Linked DNA regions of Xenopus tropicalis. The protein of the gene in region 1 interacts with the protein of each later gene in a pairwise test. Links are inferred from orthologs where the notes say so. Each region holds a gene or a part of one and is shown in the gene's direction. Other genes may lie near its edges.

What was found.
Region 2: the proteins of atxn1 (region 1) and plekhn1 interact in binary tests that used the Homo sapiens proteins (3 or more experiments, as listed by UniProt). The link is inferred for Xenopus tropicalis from reciprocal best matches to the Homo sapiens genes ATXN1 and PLEKHN1.
Region 3: the proteins of atxn1 (region 1) and ahdc1 interact in binary tests that used the Homo sapiens proteins (3 or more experiments, as listed by UniProt). The link is inferred for Xenopus tropicalis from reciprocal best matches to the Homo sapiens genes ATXN1 and AHDC1.
Region 4: the proteins of atxn1 (region 1) and slc51a interact in binary tests that used the Homo sapiens proteins (3 or more experiments, as listed by UniProt). The link is inferred for Xenopus tropicalis from reciprocal best matches to the Homo sapiens genes ATXN1 and SLC51A.
Region 5: the proteins of atxn1 (region 1) and esrp1 interact in binary tests that used the Homo sapiens proteins (3 or more experiments, as listed by UniProt). The link is inferred for Xenopus tropicalis from reciprocal best matches to the Homo sapiens genes ATXN1 and ESRP1.

What each region holds. Positions count from the first base shown.
Region 1 is NC_030682.2:93,429,300-93,432,799, forward strand, and holds part of atxn1 (ataxin-1), read left to right. Parts: coding exon 1-955; intron 956-3,500. UniProt on the Homo sapiens protein: Chromatin-binding factor that repress Notch signaling in the absence of Notch intracellular domain by acting as a CBF1 corepressor. Binds to the HEY promoter and might assist, along with NCOR2, RBPJ-mediated repression. Binds RNA in vitro.
Region 2 is NC_030683.2:88,889,861-88,893,360, reverse strand, and holds part of plekhn1 (pleckstrin homology domain-containing family N member 1), read left to right. Parts: intron 1-148; coding exon 149-295; intron 296-2,217; coding exon 2,218-2,298; intron 2,299-3,500. UniProt on the Homo sapiens protein: Controls the stability of the leptin mRNA harboring an AU-rich element (ARE) in its 3' UTR, in cooperation with the RNA stabilizer ELAVL1.
Region 3 is NC_030678.2:78,097,676-78,101,355, reverse strand, and holds the end of ahdc1 (AT-hook DNA-binding motif-containing protein 1), read left to right. Parts: coding exon 1-2,579; 3' UTR 2,580-3,180; downstream 3,181-3,680. UniProt on the Homo sapiens protein: Transcription factor required for the proper patterning of the epidermis, which plays a key role in early epithelial morphogenesis. Directly binds promoter and enhancer regions and acts by maintaining local enhancer-promoter chromatin architecture.
Region 4 is NC_030681.2:102,870,991-102,875,263, forward strand, and holds the end of slc51a (organic solute transporter subunit alpha), read left to right. Parts: intron 1-1,106; coding exon 1,107-1,212; intron 1,213-2,893; coding exon 2,894-3,009; 3' UTR 3,010-3,773; downstream 3,774-4,273. UniProt on the Homo sapiens protein: Essential component of the Ost-alpha/Ost-beta complex, a heterodimer that acts as the intestinal basolateral transporter responsible for bile acid export from enterocytes into portal blood. Efficiently transports the major species of bile acids (taurocholate).
Region 5 is NC_030682.2:128,035,576-128,039,075, forward strand, and holds part of esrp1 (epithelial splicing regulatory protein 1), read left to right. Parts: intron 1-1,154; coding exon 1,155-1,353; intron 1,354-2,420; exon of another isoform or gene 2,421-2,543; intron 2,544-3,500. UniProt on the Homo sapiens protein: mRNA splicing factor that regulates the formation of epithelial cell-specific isoforms. Specifically regulates the expression of FGFR2-IIIb, an epithelial cell-specific isoform of FGFR2.

The sequences.
Region 1 (3,500 bases):
AGATGCACAGTTAATGAAAGCAGGCAATAATAAACCAGCTTCCCAACATTATGAGACAAGACATGTGGTGGTGCACCCTAGTACTGATTATAGTACTCGGGATCCCTCAGGAGTTCGGACCTCAGTCATGGTAGTGCCTAACAGCAACACAACTGCCACAGACATGGATGTCTCACAAACTATTAAGAGAGAAACCTCACCTTTAGCAGCTCATAACAGGGGAAGCATACATTTAGGAAAGCAAACCCATCGGCCCTATGTTTTATCCCCACAGCAAACATTATGCCCAGAAGTAGTAAAAACTGTGGCTACATTATCTCCTCACACTGTCATCCAGACAACTCACAGTGCAGCAGAACAACTTTCTGTTGGTTTGCCTGCTGCTTTTTATGCGGGTACACAACAGCCAGTTATTGGCTATCTCAGCAGTCAGCAGCAAACCATTGGCTACCCTGGAAATTTGCCACAACACTTGGTGTTCCCTGGAACCCAGCCCTTACTTATACCTGTTGGCAATCCAGACATGGAATCATCTAGGGTTGGGGTTACACCTGGTATTGTGACGTCATCTCCCCAGTTTGCAGCAGTGCCTCATACATTTGTCACTACGCCCATTCCAAAAGGTGAAAACTACAGTGCTGAAACACTGGCAACTCAAACTGCCTACCAGGCTGCATTGGTCCCAGCTCAAATCCACCTCCCTGTTGTACAGTCTGTTGCTTCTCATATGGCAACTGCCCCTACACTGCCCCCTTACTTTATGAAAGGGTCAATCATACAGCTGGCCAATGGTGAGCTAAAGAAAGTAGAGGATTTAAAAACAGATGACTTCATACAAAGTGCAGATATTAGCAACGACTTGAAAATAGACTCCAGCACAGTGGAGAGAATTGAGAGCAGCCATAGTCCAGGCATAGCTGTGGTGCAGTTTGCTGTGGGAGAGCACCGGTCACAGGTGAGTAAAGGTTAAATTATCTTGCACTTAAAGATATTGTTGATATGGATCAAAGACAAAGTAGCTTTAGAAGCTTTTACCTAAGAGAGCGTCAGTTATTGTATTATTCTCATACAGAATATAAGGCTACTGCCACACCAGACTGATTCTCGGCCTGCATTTATCTACCCCTTTGCTTGCCTCAGCCTACTCTTATGACTGCACCTGGAGAAACTGCATGCGCCGGATGCAGACACATGGAGCAGATTTCATCACTGAAATGCATACTAATGCATTTTTAGTGCCAAAATCTGCTCCATGTGCCTGCACCTTGGCCAACTTTTTGGTTCTGGGTGCAGTCGCAAAAGTAGGCTGAGGCAAACATAGATGCTGATTATCATCCTGGTGTGGCATTACCCTAAGGGGTATATTTATCATGCTGTGTAAAAAGTGGAGTAAAACATCACCGGTGGTGTTGCTCATAGAAGCCAATCAGATGCTTTTCTTTCATTTTGTAACTGTTGAAATCTAATTGCTGATTGGTTGCCCTGGGCAACATCACCGGTAATGTTTCACTCCACTTTTTACACAGTATGATAAATATACCCCTAAATCTTTTAACCTATATGAAGTGGACATCTGTTTGTTAAAGTAGGGTAGTATGGAACAAAGCTGGTGTCAGATGAAGGCTGTTACTATATAGCTGTATTTCTTAACCTTTGGTCCCCAGATGCTGTTGAAATAAAACTCCAGAATTCCTCAACAGATAATCAGGGGTTAAAACCTACTAGGAGGTGCAGACCAACAATATTTAGGGATCTAAGAAGGGTCATATTGGTTTCCATTGTCATGTGCAGGATCTGTTATTCATAATCCCTGGGAATTGAGGTTTTATAGACAAAAGATTCATGTACTTTGCAATGCAATGAATCAACCTGCTAAACATTTTGTTGGGTTACATTATTCTGTTTGCACTCTCTCACACTGGGGCTGTTCAAGAGGAGCAATGAATAAAAGAATAAGCTTTTAAAAAAAATTCGACAGGAAAGAATGACACAACCACTTTTTGAAAAAAAATATTTTTTTAAAACCACAAATCTAATGAAATCATAAAACTAGGTTGGGCAAGAAGTCCCTATATACAGTAGGCCAAATAGTGAGTACAACTACAACTTTGAAATGTATGCAGATTTAAGTAATACATACACGTAACAGACACCTCTCAGTTTTCAAACATAAAAAGCCATATACAGTCTAAAAATGTTTATATCAGGGTTAAATGAATAGCACTAAATATGAAAAAGCCATTTTGGCTACAATATAATTCCTGTGCCCAACTGAACTGGTTTAATTTATTACATTTTATACCAGGCTGCCTAACACTGATTGAGCCCACCATAAGTGGCAGATTGAAAAATGTTACACATTATTATAGTCATTTATATTCTTTACAAAGATCAAATATTGAGAAAATGTTTACATCAAAATCTCTTTCCAGTTTGTTAAAGGTGATACTGTATTTTATTGTTTCATTAACTTCTATAGTAAAACAGTGGTAAAAACTTGCACCTACAATAAATTCCCCCGCCCACCTTTTCCTAAAAGACAAGTTTTTTTTATCACGTTATAAAAAAAAATTATATATATACAGCCTCCCACAAATGCACTGCACATCATACATTTTCAATGGCATTAAAGCCAAGTGCAAAGTGCAAAAGCCCACTCAAAATTGATATATGTATATTTATTGATATAACACATTTCTAAGAACTGAGTAGAAGATTGGCCATATAAGACTCTTATGCCTGCCCATAATAACATCTTCAGATAACTAATATCCTACAATTGTGCAATGGTGAAACAAGGAGTTCACAAAACAGGTACACTTGGCATTGCACATGGGGATAATTAACAGCTTTTCCTCTCTCAGAAACATCCTTAATTCCAGTGTCTGCGCAGTTCTCTCCCCTCTCCTGCTAAGAAGTCCCTTCCCTTTCCCTTAGGAATGTGTAATCTGAGCTATAACGGCTAGACTGCAGGCAGGAAGCTACTTAAAATGGCAGCTGCTATCTTAATCAAACGGAGAAAGCTTCTAAAGCTATTTACTCTGGTATGGTAATGGTTTCTGCAGAATAAATATATTGTTCTAGGTGGCACTAATGTGGCAAATCTATTGGCAATAAAATGCCAAAATAACTTTCCTTCTCCTTTAAGTCTGCTGAGACATCATTTAAATATTAAATAAACCCAATAGGTTTGTTTTGTCTCCAATAAGGAGTAATTATATCATAGTTGGGATCAAGTACAAGGTACTGTTTTATTATTACAGATAAAAAGGAAATTAAAAATGATTTCCTTATAATGGAGTCTATGGGAGACAGCCTTTCCTAACTCTGGAACTTTCTGGATAACCGGGTTCCGGATAATGTTCTTATAAATATCTTTATTTGATGTTCCTCTTGCATATCATTCCATTTTTTATTAACATTTTTGATTCTTAGGTTCACTGAACATATCAAACAGACAGCATAATGGGGAAGCTGCAGAAAATATGTGAATAATGAAA
Region 2 (3,500 bases), on another chromosome or scaffold:
CCATCTGCACATATTGTCAATGGTCCTATTACATATTGGCATGTTTTTGGCCATAGAAATAGGAAATCATTTCTAAAGTAAGCATAAATAAATCACCTACTGTATATGTAAAGTATCACTATGGATTTGTATCCTCTTTTTTTAACAGGACATTGGAAACCATGAAATACAGAAGGACAGTGTGGATCAAAGATTTCTCAGCATCTTCAGGAAGGGCAAGAAAAAAACCATCGTCAGGAATATGGGACAAATGATTCACTACTCCAAAGTCAAATTCTGCTTTCAGAACAGTCAGGTAAAGGAATGAGGATATATGCAGGGTAGCTGTTATACTCACAGAATCCTTTATGCAATGTAGTAAACAGTGCAAGCACCCAGGCAACAGAGGGAATCATTTTACCACTGTCGCCAGCAAAATGGAGCACAGAGTTGCTGTTGGCAAGAAGAGTGTAATGATGAATGTTCTAAGTAAAGGCCCAAGTATTTGAAATGAAATATAACCTACTTTTAGTAGGTTTTAACTTACATATATTTTACCTTAAATAAATGTTAACTCATGAAGGCATAATTGGGTGCCTAGAACACTATACTTCTTCACGTTGCATGTCTGTGTGTAAGTGTGAGATAGCATATTGCTTGACTTGACTATTCTAAATATGCATCTTCCCCTTTTTAGACAGTAGCAAACTCAGTTGGGTTTAAAATTAACACAACATAGAGTATGTGGTTGGCCCCAGCTAATTGCCTTTTGTTAATTTAATTTGTTTAAGACTATGTAGCCATTTTTATTCTTTTAAAGTTTATGTTCTATTACACTTTGGTACCAGAGGTAGGTCCATGGAGTATATTTATAATGATGAATTAGCAGTTAGATAATGGTTGGAGTGGGATGTTACAGTATCTGCATAAGACACAGAATTGTGGCTTGAGGTGGCCATACACGGGCTGAATCTAGCTGCCGATATATATCGGTCCCTTAGACTGATTCGGCATTATATCGGCCCGTGTATGGTCACTAACGACGGGCCTGCCTGACCAACATCTGGCCTGAAAATGGCCAGATCAAGATTTGGCAGATTTGACATTTAGTTGGATTGGGGACCCCATTGGCTCGTTGATGCAGTCCCTGAACCGACGGACACCTATACCTGTCTTTCTAATTAGCCTGATATCGACCTTGCCAAGCGAGCGGACCTTAGCGTGTATGGCCACCTTTACGCAATGCTGTCCTTTCAACTTTTTTTTTTATACCGAGCAACTTTTTTTTTAGGCTGTTTGGCATTTTATCGCAGCAAAACCTTGTGAAAAATTTTGCTCATCACTATTCAGAATTCAAATCAGTCCCTCCCCCAATGGAGCTAATAACCTAATGGGCAATATAATAAAAATCCCCACTGGAAAAAAATATTCACAATACTAACATTTTGTTCTTTGCACAATCAATTTTTTCCACATTTCTCCAATGCCTATTGCAGTACTGTATATATTTCAGCACAGGGGATGAGCTGGCAAAACTTGGCGTAAGAAAGGTTAAAGGAAATAATCAGCTGTTATCATTAGCAGAGTGTTAAACATCAGCCAAACTGTGTACTTTCCAAAGCCGATCCCCTCCCCTACTTGCTATACCTATGAGTCATTTCCCATTACATGTCTATTGTGGACTTTAACCTGTTTGTCTGGGTGATAAGATTCAGTTTCTGTGCTGTCTGCACTTTAGTTGGGAACCTTTGCTGATCAGAGTGGGGCAGATTCAAAAAAAGAATGGACTGTCCCATTTCTTACCTGATCATTACACTAATTACTGCAGTACTCATATTAAGCTGAATACAGACGGGGCGAATAGTCGGCACGATTTCTTAAAACCACAGTCACAACAATGAAAGAGAATAATCTCTGTGCACAAATATAAAAGCCGCAACGTGCAAAATGTACCACGCAGGACTACTTTTTACCTTTTCAATCTTTCATGCATATGTTTTTGCTAATTGTGTTGGTGCATGTAGTGTTCCTACTCACTTGCTGATTTCTAAAATCTGTGAACACAGATTTATTTGTATTTTTAAGTCAGTGATAAATTGATATTTTATTTTTGAAACCAAGACTTCAAATATTGACCATTGGTAATCCAGTTGTTTAAGCAAACATCTTATTTTTGAGAGGGACACGTTTAACTTGCCAAAGGGGATATTCCAGATTAACCTGTTCTGTTCTTTGCAGGACATAAGTGACTGTTACTTGGAGCTGTTTCAGTCCCACCTCTATTTTCAGTCACGTGGCCCAACTGGTTTGACCTATCAGGTAAGGGTTTCCCATGACCACACACAATGCCTCAAATGAGTAGACAGTTGATAGGTACCTGATGAGTTTCCTTGTTAGATTCTGCTATAAGTATAGATGTATTGGCAACATTTCACATCAAACACACACACAGATCACCATTTCTCAAATATCTGTTGACCCTTCAACCCTCAGGGTCACTTCCATTAGACCTGTTTACATGACTCCAAATACTTGCCCTTATCTCAGATGTGGGGCCTTTGTGCAAATGTTTTAAAGTACACTTCTTATCTTATGACATTTTACTATTCAAGGTTGCTTACAACTGCAGCCTTCTCCAACCCTGGAGGGACAGCTAATTGGCTTTTCACGGATGATGAAGTTTAAATAAAAATATTATGGAACTGAATAGTGCTGTTTGTTGTGTCTTTGTTATACCCACACATAACATAATAGATGCTAGACAACACGCTGCTCTTGCATTGCTCTTGAGATAAACACATATTTGAAATTTAAAAAAGGAATATCATGTAGCATAGAGATGTCAAACTCATGCAGTTTTTTTTATTTTTAAAGTGTATTTCTTGCTTGATCTTACTATAGTATTAAGTGTTTAAACTACAGATACAGCCAACTTAAAGGGACAGTCCACCTTAAAATTAATGTTTAGCATCATGTCTTCATTTTTTTAAGAAATAGTTTGATGAAATACTTACCCTTTTTGTTCTGCAGCTATCATTCTTGGAAGATTTAACAGCTGTCTGATTGCTAGGGCTTAATGATCCTAGCAACCAGAGAGCAGTTTTGAAGTCAGAATGAAAGATCAAAAGGAGAGGCTTAAAAAAAAGGCATCTTCCTGTCAATGCACACAGCAGGTGGATTTTGGTGCAAAAATGCATATGTTTACATTTTTTAAATCTGCCTGTGTGTATTGACAATTTTTTGCAATAAAAAAACTGTTTTGGAAGACCTGGCCACTGTTAAAAGTTGCCATTCTTTATATTTAGCCTATTTCTCTTGCTCTCAAGAACAGTGAGAAAGGGTTACTAAGTTTTACTGAAGGCTTGGTTATGCACTAGAATTTTGAGCTGGCTATAAAACTTGAAGGAAATGCTGGAATGTAATTCTATGTTCATCCTATATACATGGCAGTTCCCATTCTTGGTAATGTTTGGAGAAAGTCTGGCGTCTCAGTACAGATTAGACAGGAATCTTTGTGCTGG
Region 3 (3,680 bases), on another chromosome or scaffold:
AGCCGCGAGCTGAGCCAGATCCCAATGCTAAGCCCAAGCGCAAGAGGAGATCACGTAAGAATGGTGCTCTTCTTGGTGAAATGGGTGGAGAGGGAAGTTTAGGCTATCAAGGCACATCTGAATGGGGACCTGAAGGTAAAGGAACACCATGGCCGGGTCAGCTTTCTCACAGCCAGTCAGGTGGTAGACACTGCAGTTATCAAGGACCTGAAAACAGGGGATTTTCTTCAATGCACAGTGGATCCCCTAACAGACCTAGTTACTATGCAGGAGCAGGATCAGTGTCCCATGCCGAGGGTGGAGGGCAGGACCGCCACAGCCTCTTTACTGGGTATTTCCGCTCCCTCCTTGACTCAGATGACTCTTCTGATCTAGTAGATTTTGCCATGGCTGCCCAGAGACAAGAAGCCCGGAAATCAGCATCAGCCTTCTCTGGATCGTCATCTTCCCCTAACACCCGAGCTCTCCAGTCCTATTCCAACTCCCGGGGCACTAAAGCTAGTGCTCAAGAATCAGCATACCAAAGCTCAGCACCAGCCAGGCAGCAATTTCCACCAAGTCGAGGGTCATCAAATTATGCAGCATTAAATCAACAAGACTGCCATGGCTCTGATGCCTTTCAGAAGCTGGTGTCTCGTTCACCTAATTCTCATCATACTGGGGGCTTTAGCCAATATAGTGGTTTCTCTGGAACTGGTGGTCAGAGCCTTCCCAGCCATGGACTTTTTGCACCTAACAAACAGTATCCCTCTGGACCCCCAGATTGTGCAGGCAACAAGGACTGTAGTTTCTCATTCAGTGGAGGTAACAGCCTCCCTTCATCACCTGGCAGTGCTCATAGTGGTACAGGTTTCAGCCATCAGCAGCAACAACAATTGCCTGCTGTAGGATCTGGAGTTAACATGTCCAAAAACCCCTTCTTTAATACATCAGAAGTGCCCCCTTTTCCCCCCCTTAGGAGCGAGAGTCGATCAGGTACCTCCTCACCTGCCAATTACATGCTGCCTAAAGCTGCTGGATCACTCTTCCCTGGGGAAAATAGCCGTACCTTTCCAGGGACTTCAAGTCAGTGGGCTTTTAGGCAGGGTTACAGCCAGACAGATTGGGGTCCTGACAGTTTTGGACAGCTCTATGGAGCTGGTTTTGATTGTCACATGACAGAGTCCAATGTTATCTTAGACATTAGCAACTATACTCCCCAGAAAGCCAAACAGAACACAGACAACATTTCTGAATCATCCTCTGACAGCACACAGTACACACAGCCTGGGGCTGGCTATCGCCGGGCCAACAGTGAGGCTTCATCTAGTGAAGGGCAATCCAGCTTATCAAGTCTTGAAAAATTAATGATGGATTGGAATGAAACATCCTCTGCCCCTGGATACAGCTGGAACCAGAGTGTTCTCTTTCACCATACTGCTAAACCTGGTCGGGGGAGAAGGAAGAAAGCTGATATTTTTGAACCCTCACACCCACATCACCATCACCTGGGCTTCTCCTCATCCTCTCCTTCTTCCTCCTCTTCCTCAGCTGCTGCTCCTCCTACAGGCTTTCCCAGTAAACGAGGAGGGGGTCCAAGAGGTCCAAGGGGTGGTCGTGGTGGGGGCTGTTCCACAAACAGGAAAGAGAGAGGTTCAGGAAAGGCTAAGTTTGTCCCAAAACCACCTGCTCCACCTCCATCATCCTCTGTGAGCTCCCTGTTCCAGGAGTCCTCAGAGCTAGGATTGGACTGCTATAGTGGGGATAGTAGCATGTCACCTCTGCCTTCCCACTCACGGGCATATAGTGTAGGAGAGAGAGATCCCCCTTGTGACTTTTCTGGACCTTATTCCATGAACCCGTCTACCCCTTCTGATGGCACATTTGGTTTCCAGAGTGACTCCCCGGGGCTGTGCCCTCCCACAACAGAGCTAGAGCCTGGAAAACACTTTTCTCACCTCCCACCATCCGGAAGTGCCACCTCTGGTGCCCCACATCCTCCTCCACCACCTGGCCTGGGTTACGAACATCCCATGCAAGACTCTCCTTTTTCTCCCAACTGCTCCCCTACACTTGAGCTACGGCCAGGGGAAGGAAGGAAGCTAGTACCCTCTTCTCACTCATCCTGTGATCCCCTCAAACACAGTTTGCCTCCACACTTGCCCTCTTGTCGTGAGCAACTACCATCCCAACCTTCCACCCATCACCGCTATGAGCCCCCCAGCTGCAAAAATGCTGGCTACTGGTACCCACCTCGCAGTCCTCCTTATGATGGAAAAGGGGGCTTACTTTCAGACTTTATGGGCAGGCGGGGGGAGGGAGCATCCTGTCTGAGCCCCCATATCCCCAGCCCTAAAAGGGACAAAGAGACGCTGGACATGATGAGAGGACACCACAGAGCCCCATACCCTTGCCCATTGCTCAGTGATATCACCCATTCCCCTGTGCAAAGAGACTCCATGGTGCAACTACAGGAGACCTATCGCTACCCAGCCTTTCCCCCCCAGGGACCCCCAGTTCTGTCCCCTCCCAACATGAAGGGTGGGTTTCTGGGACCTGAAAATATTCCTGAAGACAACTTTACAGTCACCTCCCTTTAGTGAGGTGACTTGTCTGGAGTCATCGGGAGCAGCAGAGGCCGGGGGGTGAGGTGAGAATTGGATAGGGAAGGAAATCAAATGATTAAAGAAGGATATGCAATTGCATTGTTCAGTTTTGTGAAAGTGCTGCACATTTTCTATAAAAAGATTGCTTCTTGTCTAACTATAGCTGTAGCAAACTTGACTTACATGAGCAGAAGACTGTAGCTATAATGCAAACTGCCTATATAAAAAACAATATTTGTCATTTTTGTACAAAAATATTTACATGCATCAATTTATGGTCCTACACACACATGTGGACTGCGAGTTTATATACCACATACTGCTGAAAAGAAGCACACAAACTATTTGAAAAAAAATTCCATAGCATTTATGGATCGTAAAGCAGCAGTTTGTATTTAGCTATACTTTTTGTGTTCACTTCAAAATTGAATGTCATATCTCCTCATTTTTACCATATATATGTCTGGATAATTAAACGGGCCTTAATTAGTCAGGACAATTGAAGGTTAAAATTGAAAATCTGATGCAAAATTGACAACATTTTTTGTATTCCTTTTTTTGTGATAAACTGTACTGTGATGCAAAAGATAGTTAAGTTGTGTACTTTTTTTTATAATGACTTTTAGGTTAAATTAATTTATTTATATACGTAATTTGTGTGAAGCCTCCCCCTAAAATCTATAGCATACACACAGGCTTAGTTTAGAACATTTGCCAAATATACACATAAGTAACCCATAGAAACTAATCAGTGACTGTCTTTTTTTTTTTTTTGCCAACTTCAGGTTGAACAATCAAACCAAACATTTAATTTGGTTCTTATAGGTTACTGCCCAGTTGCAAATTTGCCCAATGTTTATAATGAACCCCAATGTGTTTTAATTGCCACTCCTTATTGCAGGATCTGAATTCAAATAACTGCTTCAGACCATATGCAACTTATGTGAATGGTAAGCTCTATGGGTCATTGTGATTGATAATTACCCGAGACCAAGTTGATCATGGCTACAAGTAACTGGGATCACAGTACTTTTTTTGCAATTACCCTTAAGGTAATTCTTGTCCATGTGTATAAAACCTGTATTCTAAACATTT
Region 4 (4,273 bases), on another chromosome or scaffold:
AAGATTGGATTGTACACAAAACCCAATAAAAATTTAAAAATTAAAAAAAAAAAAATCCAAAAGCATAGCAGCAGCCAAGAATACAAAATCGAAATGTTTTGGGGCTTTCTGAGTGTAATTTATGGTGCTTGCAATAAAGCAGAAATACTTGTATAAGGCACGCACATATGTCAAATTGCACAACCGATTCTCAAGATATATCTGGTGATATATAAGTAATTCTTGTATATTGCTTTCAATAATGAAGTACAGTAACATACAGATGCCAGAAACTTTCCCCAACTAAAGAGTAAATGATGGCCTATTGATAAGTAGTGTAAGTAATGTGCACATTTATTTATTGGTTTCATATTATTTATTGGTTTCATAAATCTTTATTAGACTTCTGGAACAGGTTGATTTGTACAAAGAGCATTATCTGCATATTTAGGTTCTTCTGATTGACTGCTTATTGCAGTATAAATGTCAGGGTCATTTTTGCATTTGGTTCAGATTCAAAGTCTTAGCAAATATGAGATACAATCAAAGACAGAAACAATTATTGCAATTTAAACCTTTAAAAAGATGAACAATAATCCTTTCTTATAGAAATCTACTTTAAGTATCACTTTATCCATCAAAGAACATGACCTCAATTCTGACCTAAACTTTTTAAATACTTAGTAAACCACAATCCCACAGTATTTACACCCTAATCCCTAATCATGCACTGAAGTTTGCCTCTTCAATAAAACTATTGTAAAGTTTATTTTATCAGAAAGGGCAATCTCCCCAAATGGCAGGAAATCAAAATTCTGTAAAGAATTTACAACATTCTACAAACTTTGGGCTCTTCAGTAAGCAGTTTTTGGGACGATGATCCAGATTTCCAAGGCATAGGGCATAGGCTTGGTATTCTCAATAAAATATCAGAATTGTAATAAAACCGGGACAAGTGAACGTGGTTCTATTGGACAACTGGCAAATTACTAGATGAAAAGAACTGCTTTACACAATGAAAAATATATTTAGCCACCTTTGTTGTTTTAGATTATTTTAACTTTTCTTCAGTCCAGTCAGTTTATATACAGATCACAATCTCTAACATCTTCTTATTTTTATTACAGATCTTGCTCATCCTGACAACCCTGCAAGCTTCTATCTTCAGTATTCTGGCAGGTGCAGGCCAGATACCATGTTTTCCTCCATATTCATCTAAAGCCAGATCTCAGCGTAAGTAGGACCAATGGGCCAAGGGAAACATTTAGCATAAAATGAATCAATAACAGAGGTCTATTCAAATTTAGGGGGAAATAGTTATTATGGGAAATGTACTTTTTTCCTTGCCCTTACTTCCCTGATGAGTAAGGGAAATCAAATTACACCCCAGAACAAATACAGAGTAGGGACAGTTCATATAGCTATAGTTGGTGACAAGTGAGACTAGCTGCATTCCAGTGGTTCTAACTCTGTATATTGAGTAAGACTGAAAGTGAAAGGGAGAAGCTGGAGACCATAATGCTTAACCAGTATTTAGTAGTGAGTTCCCCATTTCCCTTAGGCTAACAGTGTAATGCAACCCCTCCATCACCTCGTTCCATTGTCATGTGATGTTTTTTGGGATGTAAAGTCTCTCTGTTTCCCAGAGAATCTGTGCACCACCCACTATAGAAGTTAGAGATGCTTCAAGTTCCAGAATCCACCACTTGACACAATGGAATTCCATCACATTGTAACAAGATTAGGGGGGAGTAAATTGATTCACCGAATTCTGTTTTAAAGTGTTTAAGCCGGATAAACCAATTCTCTGCATACAAACTGAAATTCAGCAAAAGTGTGTGCTTTATTTTTAGCAAAAAAATAAAAACACAAAATGTATTTGCAAAGGTGCAGTATGTAATTGAGCCCTTGTAGTCATTGCTACCACAGGTTGCTCTGATTCCTGTTAGTAAAGTCTCTCCTGATAATCAAAGGATAAGGCAATTTAGGGACCAGTTCCATCAGTGTCGGACTGGGACCCCAGGGGCCCACCAGAAAACCTTAGATCATAGGCCCACTCTCAAAACTATTTTTCCTCCTTCCAATCAATCTCTTTATTCTCCCAGTCTCTTTTATTTACATGCTAGCATCTATTCTTCCATCTACTTCCCCTCTGTCTTCCCATTCAGAAATAGGGAATGATAATGAAACAAGCCAAATGGGCAGGAGCAGGAGGGCCCACTGACACCTGGGCCCACCTGGAGTTTTCCTGGTATCCTGGTGGGCCAGTCCAACACTGAGTCCCATAATCACTCTGTGGACAGTCTTTACAACTTTAACTTGTAGTTTGGCCAATGATTTCTCTTGTCTCCATGGATGCAAGATATATTGGTGTTTCCTAAGGTTTGAAAATCTCTCAACAAATGTCTGGGGACTTCCACTGTCCAGGACTTGCATTTTCTGGCTCAATAAGGAAACTACCATTGTTTACTCTGACTTTACTCTGGCTCATTTTTCAGAAGGGGTTTGAAACACACAGAGTTTCTTTGCTCTGCTTCCCTTCTGGCTAGCAAAAATTCTGCAGCTAGAGAAATTGCCTTTGTGCTAGTTTCAGGTGAAATTTCAATAAATTGCTCCAGTGCAGTTCATGCAACTAAGCACATGCCTCTAAGGACCTTAAGAGCTGCTATACTATTTATGAGCTCCGGATATTTGTCTGAAACGCTCTCCAGGCTTTTCTTTTCCACATGTTACCCTGGCATTGCCTTATGCAGCACTTTCATGCCACTGCTGCCATCATAGGTCACCTTTTAGCTGCTTTGTCATCCAGGGATAGAGATCTGCTCAATTGCTATATGTGTGAGTTTCAGGGCAGTGGATCAATTTTTCCATTCATATTTGCATTATCCGCTTATCAGCATCTTTCTATTTACAGTAATGAACAACAATCTGCTCATAGTGGAGACTTTCCTCCTGTCTATTGTGGCCAGAAATGCATACAGAATAAAAGACGAAGAGGCAGGATTCAGCTTCAAATCACAACGCATGTGATCAAATATGGAGAGTGTCCCATTATAATTCTCATTATATGTGAAAGTCATTTCTTTGCAAACAAACTGCCCGCTAAGTGTGTTAATATCAACAACTTGTGGCAGGTTCCACTGCTTATAAACAGATAGTTCGTACTGTGTATGAAAATAGTCCAAGATATAAAATCTCATCACAGATTTAGACAGTGGTATTCTAAAATAATTTGCAACTGGCCCCTATTTATTGAAGAGGGTGATAGTAATCAGTGCCTTTACTTAGTATACTCTGTGCACAATAGCATGCAGTGTACAATGTAAAAGGGTACAATAAACACAGTGAAAACCCTGGAAATAATACCTGCTCTGTGCTGCTGGTAATTTCATGGTTCTCTTAGCCCATGGCACCTACAGAGGCATTGTGTCAAGTGAATCACACAATAATGCTTATTCTGCACTGGAAGTGATTCCATTTGCACACAATTGCAATAAGGAGGAACCCCACCCTAATTTTAACACCTATAGCGGGTGCCGTCAATGACTGCAATTCTGGGAAAAACATTGTGATTTTGTGTTTACATTTAGACTTTACATGGAGCGCTCGTTTGGTAAATTAGCTTCATAACTGGTTGCTGTGGGTTGCCAGATGGTACAAATTTATAGAAAACCAACTGTTTCATTCTGTAACCCATGTTTGTTCATATATTGTAAGACCCCTGTTTGTTATATTATTGTAAAGAGCTGTGAAACTTGCTGGCACCATTAAAATGAATGATAATTATATAACCACACTTTATTTCTTACTTGGTTGTAAAGATCCCAGATACTAATAGCCAGGCAGCAGTTGAAAGGACAGAATATCAACTGGGGGGGTCTGAACAGAAAAGTAATAAATAATATGAAGATGGTTTCTTGACTTGTTTACAGTGTACACTACATAAGCAAATACCACCTCAAGGGGGACAGGAAACAATTCCTACCCCAACACAGCTATAGAATAAACAAAACAAAAACCTTGTTTATTAGCTAATACAGACAGTACTAGGGAACTAGCTAATAAAAACCTCTACCGCTGTGAAAAGTTTACTATAACTTAAAAGGGCAGTGCACCCCTTGTTCAGCATTAGTTCAGGGAATAGGGCTTGCATGGAATATACTTCTTGTAATAATTAAGATCTATGTATTTTTGTTATTTCTTGACCTGAACAGAGCGACAGGAAAATTGAAGCTACTCCATGTTTGGTCCTTGCGATGTAGCTAATTAGATTGCCAGTATACAGTCACCCTCC
Region 5 (3,500 bases), about 35 Mb from region 1:
GGTATGTCTCTGAGCCCCAGTCAGATATTGGTTTAGGCACCTCTCATTTTGGCACCATACATGGTCTAATAAGCTGCCAACTTGGTCAAGAGCTTTAGCGGTGGTGGGTTTTTTCCCCAGTATTTATAGACAGGCACACTAGCCAGGGGAGAGGATGCAGCAGGGGCCAGGTAAATTACCTTGGGGTGGCCAGATCCGGCCTGTGGGCCGTAGTTTGAGGATCCATGGTCTAAGGTCCCTATTACATTCACTTACATTAGGGACAGTTTTTTTATTTGGAATTCACCTGCCTGTATGTTTTTGAAGTGTGGGAGGAAACTGGATTTCCTGGAGGAATCGCATACAGACATGGGGAGAGCATACAAACTCCTTGCAGATAATGCCCTGGCTGGAGTAGACTTCAGGACCCCAGCACTCCAAGGCAGCAGCAACCCACTGAGCCACATTGGGTCACATAGGGGCCTGTGCTGACCTTGATTGGAAAAGACAATATCTATCTTAGATATATATATATATATATATATATATATATATATATCTATATCTATATCTATCTATATATCTATATCTATCTATATATCTATAAATCTATCTATATATCTATAAATCTATCTATATATATCTATATATATATCTATATATATCTATATATCTCTCTATATATATCTATATCTCTCTATATATCTCTCTATATATATATATATATCTATCTTAGATGCAGTCCATATCTTCTGGGATTTTCCAGTGATTTGTGGCTGAGCCTCAGCCAGATATCACTCCAGGTACCTTCGTTTTTGCATCGTACACAGACTAATAATCTGGCAACTTGGTCAAGTGTGACTGTGTGGGAGGCCAGTATTGATGTGTATATGACCAGCTATAGTTTTGCTTGTGCCGAACAAGTAGAAGCTAACTGGTGTTGGTTTGGTATGTGTTTTGGCAATGTTGCACATATAGAAATAATTGAAAGACCAGTATGTTACTTATGCAATTAGCAAATTAACCTTTGCCCTACCATAGTGCAGTTGTATGCATGGCACTGTGTGTGTGACTTTTAAATGAGCCCTTTTAGCACAAACGGTTAACCATTGTTTGTTTGGATTTCCCATTGTCCGTTCATAGAAAACTTTCTCATTCATGTTCTTTGTCACCAGGGCCGTCCATCTGGGGACTCGTTTATTCAGATGAAATCGGCAGACCGGGCGTATCTGGCAGCACAGAAGTGCCACAAGAAGACCATGAAGGACAGATATGTGGAGGTGTTTCAGTGTTCAGCAGAGGAAATGAACTTTGTCTTAATGGGGGGAACTTTAAATCGCAATGGCTTGTCCCCGCCGCCATGTAAGTTACCATGTAAGTCTGGGCTTTGGGTCTTGCCGCTTCTCTTCGCTTGTTGCTGGTAGGTGCTGGAACAGCTTTCTCTCTTGGGTACTGGGCTTTAATTTACTCCACAGATTCACTGGTTATGAGCAACTTCACAAATCAACAACAAATACAATTATTTTTGGTGGGTGACGTATTGGGGGCTTAAACATGCATCAAACCAATTTTTCTGGAGGGGGGTTGCTGGACTAATGTAAGTGGTAGAGCCAACATCCATGATTTCTTCTGGCTGGCTAATTACACTTTTATTGTTTCTGAACTGAGCACTGCGGCCAGATACAGCTAGCGGTGCAGTCCCACTCTCCAACATCTCCACCCCCATTCTGAGGGGCTTTGTTTAATAATTCACTTCATGGAGATGCTATGGCCGAGGTGAAATGGATGATATTAAGAATCCCTCATATTTGTGTATCTCCTTTTTGCATAAAGAAAATATTTTCTGTGCTCTGAGTTGCCATTTTAGATTACTTTAAAGCATAAGCCAAGTGTGGGCTAGCTGGTAGGCCCACAAACAACCTTAAATGCCATTTTAGCTCTAGAGCAGGGATAGCTAAGCTGTTGCTGAACTACAAATGCCCATGTACATGGGAGTCTCTACTGGAAGTTGCAGCTTAGCAATGGCTGGCTCAGCCTGCTCTATATGGATATTTGTGGGACTGCACCTTACAGCATGCACATGATTACTTTTTCGCTCAGCAATCCTGTTAGTATGCAGCGTATTCCATGTAATATCCACACTTCTTTTAAAATGTAGAGCCTTCTGTGCCAACCAATGTCCTGGTAATTTAATAACGCAACTAGGGTGTGAACAGCACTGTCATGGTGGTTTAGAGTATGTACGGCAAAGGTTCTCAAGCTTTGGGCAGGCTGAAACGTAGGTGGGTATGAGGTGCATGCAATCACTCACACTAATGACGAGACACTCAGACTGTGGCATACATACTGTGTGGGGCACGGGTAGCATCTGGCCTGTGGTATGTCGGGAACGTAGCACATCTCGTAATCCGTTTTAAATGGATATTGCGACTATCCCACAGAGATTTAGTAATCAATGGAGGAACTGGCCCACAAGGCTTGCCATCTGAGGCTATGTTAAAATCCATGAAAAGTCGCCAAAAGTTTGAGATTTTTGAGGAATATCCAGCAGAGGCTGAATCAAGGTGAGACCCTGGAGGGAAGCAGTCTTTTGCCTCTCTCAATTTAAACAGCAGTGAATGTTATTTCTGCTTTAATCCTCTTTTGTTTCTGTGTAGAATTGGCCGTTTAAGGAGAAATTGAAAATTACAAGTGACTCTTTTGTAAAATTCAACAAATGCGTATGTTAATAATAAGCCAAGACAAAACCAAGGCTTTTGTTTAACTGATGGGGTTTCTGTGTTGTGGCAAAGCCTGTTGAGGCCAAGCATAGCAATAGGATGTGTCAAATGTTACATTTATCTGCTCTTGTTTGAGATGCTGCTCTATAAGTAGGGCAGACAAATGAAATGATGAGAGGAAAGTATCTAGTATATCCTGTAAATATAAAAGTATACATAATATACTTGCTTTACATAAATCTTGGCTTGACTGAGGAATTATCCATAGCCAAAGACCGCTGTTCCTTTATTGCCATAATATCTGTGCTTCTGTTCGCTATGGAGTATTGTTCAGCTGGGGCAAGGGTATAGCAGACATATGCAGACAGGGTGCAATGAAAAATGGATACTTTTAGCATATTACTCTGTTTGAAGGGAATGTAGGTTTTAAGCATTTTGTTATGTTCATGAGAAGAATTTTTTTTTTTGCAGTTATTTAAAATACATGAGCACAGGGGTAGCAATATAATATAGGTTAGGATAATACAGGATGGCTTTAGATTAGTACAGTAACAAATTGAGCATTGTTTACTGGATAGGCATAATATAAATCGGATGGTCCACCTAAGTCATATATTTACTTTAATGGGAGGGAAATGTGTGTGTGGTATATATTTTTTTTTTTTTGTAGTAGTAGTAGTATGGCAAAGACTCTGCTGGAAAATCTTAACCATGCTGGTGCAGTTATGGGACATTTGTAAAATAGAACATTTTGTCCACTTATTGATTATCACTTGTTGGGAATTGGCACCAAATCAATAT